2 linked regions of the Drosophila melanogaster genome follow. Changing the gene in region 2 together with the main gene of any one other region gives a genetic interaction. Each region holds a gene or a part of one and is shown on either strand. Other genes may lie near its edges.

Region 1 (5,636 bases), 2.1 Mb from region 2:
TCCTCGAAGAAGCGTCTTACGTCCAAGCTGCACATCTTTGCCTCTGGTGCACTCCTTGGGAATGCTCCTTGAAATGTGCTGTTCACCGGAGTACCTAATATCCGGGTTGATATCGTTGATTCGTTGACGTCGACGCCGCCGCCCCGATTCTGTTTTCACTTGGGTTTCCGCTTTCTTCCGCTCCGATCCGCTCTTCTCCGCCAGAAATTCTCTCACAGCAGATTACAGGACACGGCGGTGGCACCCACGCTGGAGGCGCATTTTCAGAGATCTCCTGCTGGCAGAGCAAGTTCTTCGATCTATTGGTTTCAGTCCTATTGGCAGTAATATCGCGGCTTTCGTGCCCTTCTTTTGTGAGGAATCCAGTTCGTGGGTCGGGTGCCTACGTCTAATTGGTGTGACCAGCCAATGCGAAATCCGAAATGACTAAAATACAGACTTCCTCCCGGTTTTATATTATTTAAAATTTTTACTATTTGTTTTATTTTAAAGTTTAAAAGCTATCAGTAAAAAAATTAACTTAATTAAAAAACAAATGTCGAAGATTATTTAGATTTTGTTTGTCGCAGACGAAAAATATGAAAATTTTCCGATGATTTAAAAAAGGGAAATTTCGAGGGCTGCAGAGTAAAAAAATAAAACATATTTTGAAAATTAAAGAAATATGTCAAATATATAAAGTAGCTAACTCCAAACCGACTACTAATTGTTTCGTAGTTCAGAAATTTTTTTAATACTGAATTAATTGTAAAATATCTAATTTTAGTTAGTTCAATAAAACAATTCACGAAAGTTAGATGCATTTTATTTATTTATAAGATTAAAATATCAATTATGTACAACTAAGTTAAGTATTTAATTAGTTCTCTTGAAATGGATATAAGGGGATTTACAAGTGAGCTTGATAAGCGTGATATTTTTTCGTTATGGATTTATTAAACAAATATTCTTAGATTATCTGTTTGATTTGAATATATGATGTCAAAATGTTCCCTTAACATTTATACGTCGATAACTTAAGATGTTCCGTGTACGTCCCAAGGCTGTCTTTTGGTTAAAAGTACTGCGGAATCGCTATTACTATTTGCCTCGCCCCTGGTAGTCATTTTCATATACACAAGATCGGATTACGTTAAAAGTAATTAAAAAGTATTTGCATTATAAGAAACAGTAGTCGCCAGTGCAGACTAATTGTTGTGATGATGAAGAAAGAGGATGGCGTCGATGTGACTACCGGTGAGCATGAATCGCTTGTTGAAGTCGTATATTTGGTCTCTCAGCGCCTTCTTGAAGCTGAGCGTCACCACGCCGGGCACACTATGGTACAGGCTGGCCAAATCGCGGAGCGTTCCATAAATGTGTCCCATCTTGAGCCACCACTCGATGGGCGACTCATCCAGCTGAACGACCACCTCGTTGCGATATCGCTTAAGATCGGACTCCACGCTGCTGTCCGCATCTCGCTTCGGAGGATTTGGTATCTCGTTACTGTCAAACAGCAGTTTCAGACCTACGGGCATTTTCGTTTAGTCCATGGTTTATGATAATCGATTTAGTTCGATGCACTTACCCAACTTCTTTGGTGCACTGCCGTCCACTACTCTTGGTTCTGACTTAATGGCCACCACGCTGGAGGTAGCTGCCACTTCGTTGGATTCCCCTTCGCCCACTCCACCAAAGTTAATGTTATACTTATGGGTCAGCATACGAACGGTTCGCTCTAGGTTGTCAATGGTGGTCAGGCGGTGGAAGCGTGGGTCCAACAATGCAGCAGCGGTCAGATTGTCATTGGATATAACGTGCGCCTGGAGGACACTGGAAATGGTCCGCTTCAAATTCATCATTAGGGGATCGTCCTGCTCGGCGATGCCCAACTTCTTGATAAGAATCTTTGAAGTGATTGGCGAAAGCATGCTACACAAGGGAATGTCTTCGCCACGCAGCGTGTCCAAAGCAATCTAAAAGATTTCACACAATAAGAAAACTGCTTAAACGTCTCATTTAGCTTGATGGCTTACCACCAGAGCACTCAGGGCCTCCGTCACCGTCTTGGCTGATATAACCAGGTGATCCATGTCCTCGGACCAAGATATGGACTCGGCAAAGAACTTCAATGTTTCGTACAGTGTCCAGGGGAAGTGCTCGTTGTACGTGGGCATGGGCACCTCGGACACCTTGGAGGCAATCTCCGTTGAATGACGCTGCATTAGGTCCTTCACCTGCTCCAATAAAGTGGCCACCTCTTCGATCTCAAACACACGACGCAAACATTTGTCAATTACCGAAACGTAGCACAGCGAAATGGGTATATCTGCAATAAAAGATTCATATTCATTAGGAAGTCCAATATTTGATATATATTCTATATAAGGTAAATAATTCTGACTTGCTAATGCACTCACTTTTCTCTCGCAGATAGGTGTGCAAAAGGTCCTCTTCCTCGTCGTAGTTTATGATGGCCAGTGTGCAATTGGCCAAATAGAAGTCGGTCAGCAGATCGTCAAAGACGATGTAGTCGTTGTACTCCACGGTGGCATACAGCATACCGCGAACTGAGTGCGTCTCCTCGTCCAGAAAGTGATGGAAGATGCTAAGGAAGCGCCGCTGTTCAACATTCACCCACATCTCAAAGGCGAGAGAGAAGGGCTTCTCGGAGGTGAAATCGCGCGTGATTTCGCCAATCTCCAGAAACTTGGAGGCGTGCATCTCATTGATCAAAGAGTCGATCTTGTGTGGCTCGGGCATGGCTGCCGAATTGCCTAGGACTTGACGCAGGAATTCACCAAAACCGGCATCGTACAGAGAATCCACATTGCGCAAATCCTTAATCACAATGTCCGTAAGGGCTTCGGCCAGATTGGCGATGTTCGCCACGGCGGCATAGCCGCCTTCCTCGTGCTTGATGACACGCCCGTGCATCAGGGCACTCGATGGAGTGGCCACTTTGCGTTTGCGTCCGTACTTTGGTTCCATAACTAGGCGCTCCTCCTCCTCTACCAGATTTTCGGCCTCGTCGTAGGTGAAGGGCACCATGGTCTCGTACAGCATGGTTTGCGAGGAGGCGTCCTCCTCCGCCTGCATGGCCGCAGTTGCCACGGCTGCTTCGTCCAGTTCATCATCGGAAGCGTTATCGTGGTTCCGGTTATTAATGAACTCCAGTTTGACCCGCCGCGAGGAAACATTCCGCTTGGACAGCGGTGGATGGGATACATTACGCGGCGTCTTGCGCGGCGGCACATGGATGTCGTGCTCCTGGCACAGCTCCTTGAACAGATCCTTGTGTCGGTGCTGGAGATGCGCACGCAAATTGGTGGTGTTGCCATGGTTGGTCAGCACCTTGTGACACTTAATGCAGACCACATTCTGTTTGGTAATCACCTCATTATTGTCGTTCGAGGGGAATCCAAAGTAGCGCCAGTATACGCTTTTCATCTTGGGCGAGTACAGTTTGGAAAAATTTAGCTGCGACACATCCTCGTACTTGAGTTCGCCAATGGCCACGGGCGACGCTGGTACCCCTTCGCTCATCTTGTCTTCTGTGGGGGATTGGGATCTTCTTGTTTGTTTTGAATTAGATTCGACAACGATTGCTGTGCCCAATGCGTGTATTAGCGCGCAATTTCTCGATTATAGATAGACGGTTCAATAGTCAATAGTTTTTTATCTGTATCAGAAGTACAGTTCAGAGTTGCCACGCGACACGCCGTCAATCGATAAGGCAATAAAACGTTGCTAAATGCTTCAAATGCACTCTCATTTATTTGAGATTATTTTTACAGACTGCTCAAATATGAGAGTCACCGCTTTTTAATTTCAATACGTCTGACTGTCGTAAAAAATGCGATTTGTTGAGTATTCTCGCTAACACTGATTGCATCACCAATCGATAGCTGGGGAAATTTCTCGCTCGGCCGGGGGAATTTCTCTAGGGAAATTTTCGCTTGGCCTACGACGTGAAGTTGGTTGCGATTTCCTTTTTAATTCGTTGTTGGGAAGAAAAGGTGTGTAAATTTCGTGAGCGTCACGAAATTCAATGAAAATAAAAGATAAACGAAATGCAAATCGAGCCATCGAGTGTGCCAAGTGTGGAGGACACAAGTGGGCATCATTGACACCCGTAGGCATGAAGAAGTGCTCGGAATTACGGCTTAAACAAATCGAAATTCGCCAGCCACGTGGGCCTGCAGCTTGGTTATCCCATATATACGAGTTTACAAAGAGACATTGATGTTATTATTGTGTTTTTGCCCTCGTTGCAGCCAATCTAAACCGCCAAGATGGGTAAGGGTAACAATATGATTCCGAATCAGCACTACCACAAGTGGTGGCAGCGGCATGTGAAGACCTGGTTCAACCAGCCGGCCCGCAAGGTCCGCAGGCATGCGAACCGCGTCAAGAAGGCTAAGGCCGTCTTCCCCCGCCCAGCCAGCGGTGCCCTGCGCCCTGTGGTTCGCTGCCCCACCATCCGCTACCACACCAAGCTGCGTGCCGGCCGTGGTTTCACCCTGGAGGAGCTGAAGGTAAGTGAAGCCGAAAACATTATCGGAATCCATTGGCCACTAACAAAATCTCTGTTTACAGGGTGCCGGCATTGGCGCCAACTTCGCCAAGACCATCGGCATTGCCGTCGACAGGAGGCGCAAGAACAAATCCCTGGAGTCCCGCCAGCGTAACATCCAGCGCCTCAAGGAGTACCGCAGCAAGTTGATCCTGTTCCCCATCAACGAGAAGAAGATCCGCGCCGGCGAGTCCTCTCTGGAGGAGTGCAAGCTGGCTACCCAGCTTAAGGGACCCGTCCTGCCCATCAAAAATGAGCAGCCCGCCGTGGTCGAGTTCCGTGAGGTGACCAAGGATGAGAAGAAGTTCAAGGCCTTCGCCACGCTGCGCAAGGTAAGTTTTTTGGTTTCGTGATCCGCCGGTAGCTCGTTATACTTATTCGCCGCCAAACTATATTTGCAGGCTCGCACTGATGCCCGTTTGGTCGGAATCCGCGCCAAGCGCGCCAAGGAGGCCGCTGAGAGCGAGGACGCCGCCAAGGGAGACCCCAAGAAGGCCAAGAAGTAAACCACATCTTAACCTGATCGTTCTGTCTACAACATCAACCAGAATAAAATCTTAGTTTTTCTTAAACGTGAATATTTGTGCACATTGTTGTTATTGTCGCGTCTGGCGTAAGACTTATCGATAACCCGTGTTGCTATCGATAAGTAGCTTTGGCGCGTTGAATTCAAACTGGCGCGTTTGTTTTTAGCTGCTGCATCCAAAAAAAGAAACGTATGTTGCTTGCCATTACTTTTTTATTTTTTCTTATTTTTACCAGCTTCTTAATTTATTTGGGTTAAATTATTAAAAAGTTAAATCTGTGGTGCCATATAGAAGATTTTCTTAGGATACGCATCTTGAGCAAACGAAAAGGTTGCAGAAGCTACGTTTCTTATTTTTTTAAATATCTTTTGTTGAAATGTTAATTACAATATATTGAATTTTTCATTAGAATGGTGTAGGGTAAAGATTAAACTAAACAACTGTATTTTATCTCTGCAGTAATATATTTGCAATACCTTTTAAGGTATTTATGCCTATGTACATATGTATGTACATATGCGCGTTTCACTATATCTGAAAATATTGAGTTT
Region 2 (4,495 bases):
CACGGCGAGGTCTCCGTGGCGGAACTCATCACAAAGCTGCAAAAGATTCGCGACGAATTCATCGCCAACGAGGACAGCTTCTAAGACTCTATTTCGAACTATTTATCAAAAGTATACTTAACATTTGCATAGCAAAGCAAGTACGCATTTTTGTTCTTTCTATGTATTTACGCTTACGAAACCGGAATTCACAAATAAAAAACCAAATCCAAACACATTTTAAGGTGTTTCAAATAGAAGAGAAGAGCATGCAATCAAATAAAAGCAATTCGATTCAATATACGATTATTAAGCTTCCCCAACTAAAAATCGTATTTTTCTGATCCACCTTAAGCCGCCTATTTCACTCCAGTTTCTTGACGAATCAGTGGAATTTGTCAGCAATTGAGGACTAGTCATGCCGACACAGAGGTGCGCTGTAGTCCATTCAGGAACGATTTGGAATGATAAGATAAGTCGGCCCACATTTGGCGGAAAACTTTTTGGGAAAGGTGTGCGTGCACCCACAACGTATGAGTCATGTTTTGAATTTATTTTTTTGTATTAATTTATTGCTAGTATCTTGTATACTTTTCATTTTCATAATTTGATTTATTAAAAATTGCATCAATAGTTTATGTTTTTATTCAATTATCAATTTTGTAAGCTTTTGCTTTTCGCGTAAAAAATGCACAAAGTTCTCTCGCTAATCGAAGCAAAAATCGTTAATAATATTGTTAAGTGTTTGCTCTGCTCGTGCTCTGCTTATCTGTTTCAGTTTTAGTCATAAAAATACATATTTTATATTTGTGTATATTTATTCATAAGATGCACGTGGCCAAGTCCTATGCCATCCACAGTTCCAGTTAGCAGTCGCGTTCGCTGTGCTAAAAAAAAAACCGAAATCCTAACCAAAACTGGCGAAACAAAAGCCGCAAACAGAACAGAACGGGGGCTAAAATTGGAAACAAAATGCCTGGCTGGTGGAATCATTGAACACAGACTGGCTGCGTGGTATCTACGACTGCTGGAGATGCCGAGAGCTGGAATGTCGGAGGATCCTGGGACCGCCTGGCCTGACATAAGTACATGGTCTTGGGTTTTTTTTCGTTTAGAGGGTTTAGGGGGTATCGGAAATGCACTACACTATATTCTTGTCTGGTAGCTAACTCGCAAATATTACTCTGATCTTGATCCCTGATCTCGTGTCAATGAGTTAGCATTCGCACTCGCCTGCGCTCGGGATTAGCTCGTCAATTAACAGTAATTAGTTAGCCGATTTCGTTAATTGTTGTTTAGTCTATTTGCCTTTGCTATCATTTGTTACTTTATAAATAAACTTAAACGTAAAGTGTGTATGTGTGTATAGATGTTGAGGAATCCGCCGCAGATCCGGCCAGTACATACACCTGACACCTGTGTACACCAGTGCTGCTGGCCGATCTCCTGCATCTGCATCTGCTCCTGCTGTTGAAAAAGGGGGAGAGGATGGTTGGATCGTCGGCTCAACCGGTTCTAGCAGGCGCAGCCGCCCTCGGGATCCTTTGTCTCGTTGGGTGAGTCCTTTAGCACAACCTCCTGCATGTCCTCGGAGGGCTTGTTCTCCGTGGAATCCATGCCGGGCAGTGCCGCGGCCACCCGTCGGAACAATTGCTTCACATTGTAGCCGGCCTTGGCGCTTGTCTCGATGAACATCACGTTAAGCTCCTTCGCCTTGCGCTCACCCTCCTCGGTGGACACCTGACGCTTGTCGGAGAGATCCGTCTTGTTGCCCACCAGCATGATGATGACGTCGCTACCCCGCTCCGTGCGCACGTCATCGATCCACTTGGAGGTCTGGTGGAACGAGTTGGTGTTGGTGATATCGTAAACGACCACTGCCACCGTGGAGTCGCGTATGTACGAGGGTATCAGCGAGCGGAATCGCTCCTGTCCCGCCGTATCCCACAGCTGCAGGCGCACAGTGCGATCCTCCAGGTACATGGTCTTCGATAGGAAATCAATTCCGATCGTCGCCTGGTACGTGTTGTCGAAGCTGTCGTACATGAAGCGCGTAATCAGCGAGGTCTTGCCCACACTCTGCTCGCCGAGGAAGACGAGCTTGAACTTCCGCAGCGGATTGCCAAAATCTCCGGATGACATCTTCCTCAACGTACGTGTCTACTTTTTCTTAATTACGGGTTTGCTGAACTCTCTTCTCGCTCCGCTCCGCTCTCACCAATCTCCACCCCTCCTCACTGTTTATAATGGGGCTGGGCCAGCGGTTTTCGGGGCCCTTTCGCACTGCGATTTCTCGGGATGCACCGCTTTCAAGTTGCCGCACTCTATTACACACGCTCTAAATGCTTTCCGTCTGGCTAAAGACTCAATTGCGGCTCGAATGGCTTGGTAAATCGCTAGGTTGAGTCGTGGAAAAATTACGGTCTCTGCTTCTTCTTCTTTAACTTCTGAGTCAGTTGCTGTGTGACCAGAGTGGCAATCAAAAGCAATTTCTCTGCCACGCTATCGATAAACGCATATTTGTACTAAATCGATGTTTTATGATTTAAAAAAAAATCGATTGATATTCGTTACCGTTATTAAATAATTTTAACTAAAATTTACCTGCTTAAAATGTTTAAATACTGATGAAGTACAAGGTAATTGCTTAACTTTTTATTTCATATTAAAAAGTGAATACTAAGTGTAAGAAATACTAACAGGTGATAACGCGATTTTCAAATATAAAGCTCTCTAAAGTGATTTGCTTGTTTTTAGATAAACGAGCGTAGGTATTTGCCCATCCTATCGGTGGAACTTGACGTACTTCTGTCAAAGAGTCACTGTTCGGGCGTCGCTTAATCTCAAATTATAATAAGTGGTTATCTGAAGAACACACGGTCCTTAATTGAAAGCCTTATCTGCTGGCGCTGGCAAAATTTTGGAATGGCGAATTAATTTAAACGTGCCGCGATAAAGGTCGATGTAAACAGTTCCGCGAAAACTATGTTAGCGAACGGACAGCAAACAAAGTCGTTGGCCAGTGGGCTTCTTCTCCTACTGGGCATATGCCGAATATCCGGAGTGGCTATCGGCGCACCCGAGGGGCGTGTCGTGGGTGGATCTCCGGCAGCGGTGAATAGTGCTCCCTATGCGGTGTCCATGCAGTACGGTGGCACCCATTACTGTGCCGCCAGCATTCTGAATGCCAACTGGCTAGTCACCGCTGCCCACTGCCTGACCAATAGTAACCAGGTGCTGGGCAGCACCTTGGTGGCCGGAAGCATCGCGGTGGACGGAACTGCAAGCACTACGCAGACGCGGAGCATCACGTACTTCGTGATCAATGACTTGTACACCGGCGGAACTGTGCCCTATGACATCGGAATGATCTACACGCCCACCGCCTTCGTTTGGAGCGCCGCCGTTGCCCCAGTGACGCTACCATCCTCGGGAGTGGTGCCCACTGGCACCGCCAATCTGTACGGATGGGGCAGCACTAGCACCACGAATACCGCCTCCTATCCGTCGACCCTGCAGGTGGCCACCAATGTGCCTATCATTTCGCTGAGCTCCTGCGAAAGCGCCCTGGGCACCAAGGGCAGCGATGTCCACTCGACCAATCTGTGCACTGGTCCTCTAACTGGCGGCGTTAGCATTTGCACCTCGGATTCGGGCGGACCACTGGTCCAGGGCAATGTCCTTATTGGCATCGTGTCCTGGGGCAAGTTACCTTGTGGTCAGGCCAACTCACCGTCGGTTTACGTGCAGGTCTCGTCGTTTATATCGTGGATATCGGCTAACCAGCAGGTGTCCTAAATAGTCGAGTTTTTCCCTATTTTTTCAATAAAAGCAATCAAATGTGTGTCCCTAGTGGCGGTCACTTAAATGTGGGACTTTCCTTCGCATCACAGCTACTATATCAAACAACGAGCTGTTTTTTAAAGTTTATCTTATCTCGTAAAGAGAGAGGAACACGGTGAGCAACCAACGAACAGATTTATATGCTTCACATATTTTCGGGCTGTAAATAACAATTTCTTACATTGCACAATAACAGAATAACGAACCGAATCATTGTGAAATATGTGAGTTAAGTAAATAATGTTGAGACTATGGTTTCAAAATCTAAACATTTCTTACCAGAACTAACCTTTTTAACAATGGTCTTATAGATATTATATTTATAATATTTTCCTTATCAATGGACGGGGATCCCCTCGAAAATACAGAATGACAAACTTGAGATATTGCCCTCAACACCCTTTTGCATCTATTCTCATTGTTGACTGAGTCTATCATAACAAGAGAGAAATATATATATATAAAATCGTATAATCTTAAGTTATAATAGGCTCTTATCTGAAAGACAAGGGCTCTGATTGAAAGTTCTTATCATATTCTCGGTTGGCTCGCATGAAATTTTTTATCACGAATTAATTTAAAAAGCCGTCGATAGTGCCAATGTAAACAGTTCTGTGAAAACCATGATTGCGAATGGACAACAAACCATGTGGCGCCATCGCCACCTGGCCAC

Evidence for each region.
Region 1: of Rab6 (region 2) and Dref, changing one suppresses a phenotype caused by changing the other (phenotypic suppression), as found in Drosophila melanogaster (one study listed by BioGRID).

What each region holds. Positions count from the first base shown.
Region 1 is NT_033779.5:9,963,358-9,968,993, forward strand, and holds Dref (DNA replication-related element factor), read right to left. Parts: upstream 3,873-5,636; 5' UTR 3,529-3,872; coding exon 2,403-3,528; intron 2,312-2,402; coding exon 2,019-2,311; intron 1,959-2,018; coding exon 1,571-1,958; intron 1,511-1,570; coding exon 1,188-1,510; 3' UTR 790-1,187; downstream 1-789. Other genes in the region: CG5850 (uncharacterized protein), read right to left, coding at 1-35; RpL13 (ribosomal protein L13), read left to right, coding at 4,278-4,520, 4,582-4,890, 4,960-5,064.
Region 2 is NT_033779.5:12,106,679-12,111,173, forward strand, and holds Rab6 (Rab6), read right to left. Parts: upstream 2,439-4,495; 5' UTR 2,122-2,438; coding exon 1,495-2,121; 3' UTR 543-1,494; downstream 1-542. Other genes in the region: ThrRS (Threonyl-tRNA synthetase), read left to right, coding at 1-84; Phae1 (phaedra 1), read left to right, coding at 2,965-3,777; Phae2 (phaedra 2), read left to right, coding at 4,470-4,495. UniProt on the Drosophila melanogaster protein: Protein transport. Regulator of membrane traffic from the Golgi apparatus towards the endoplasmic reticulum (ER). Mediates membrane trafficking during egg chamber growth and organization, possibly upstream of exocyst component Sec5.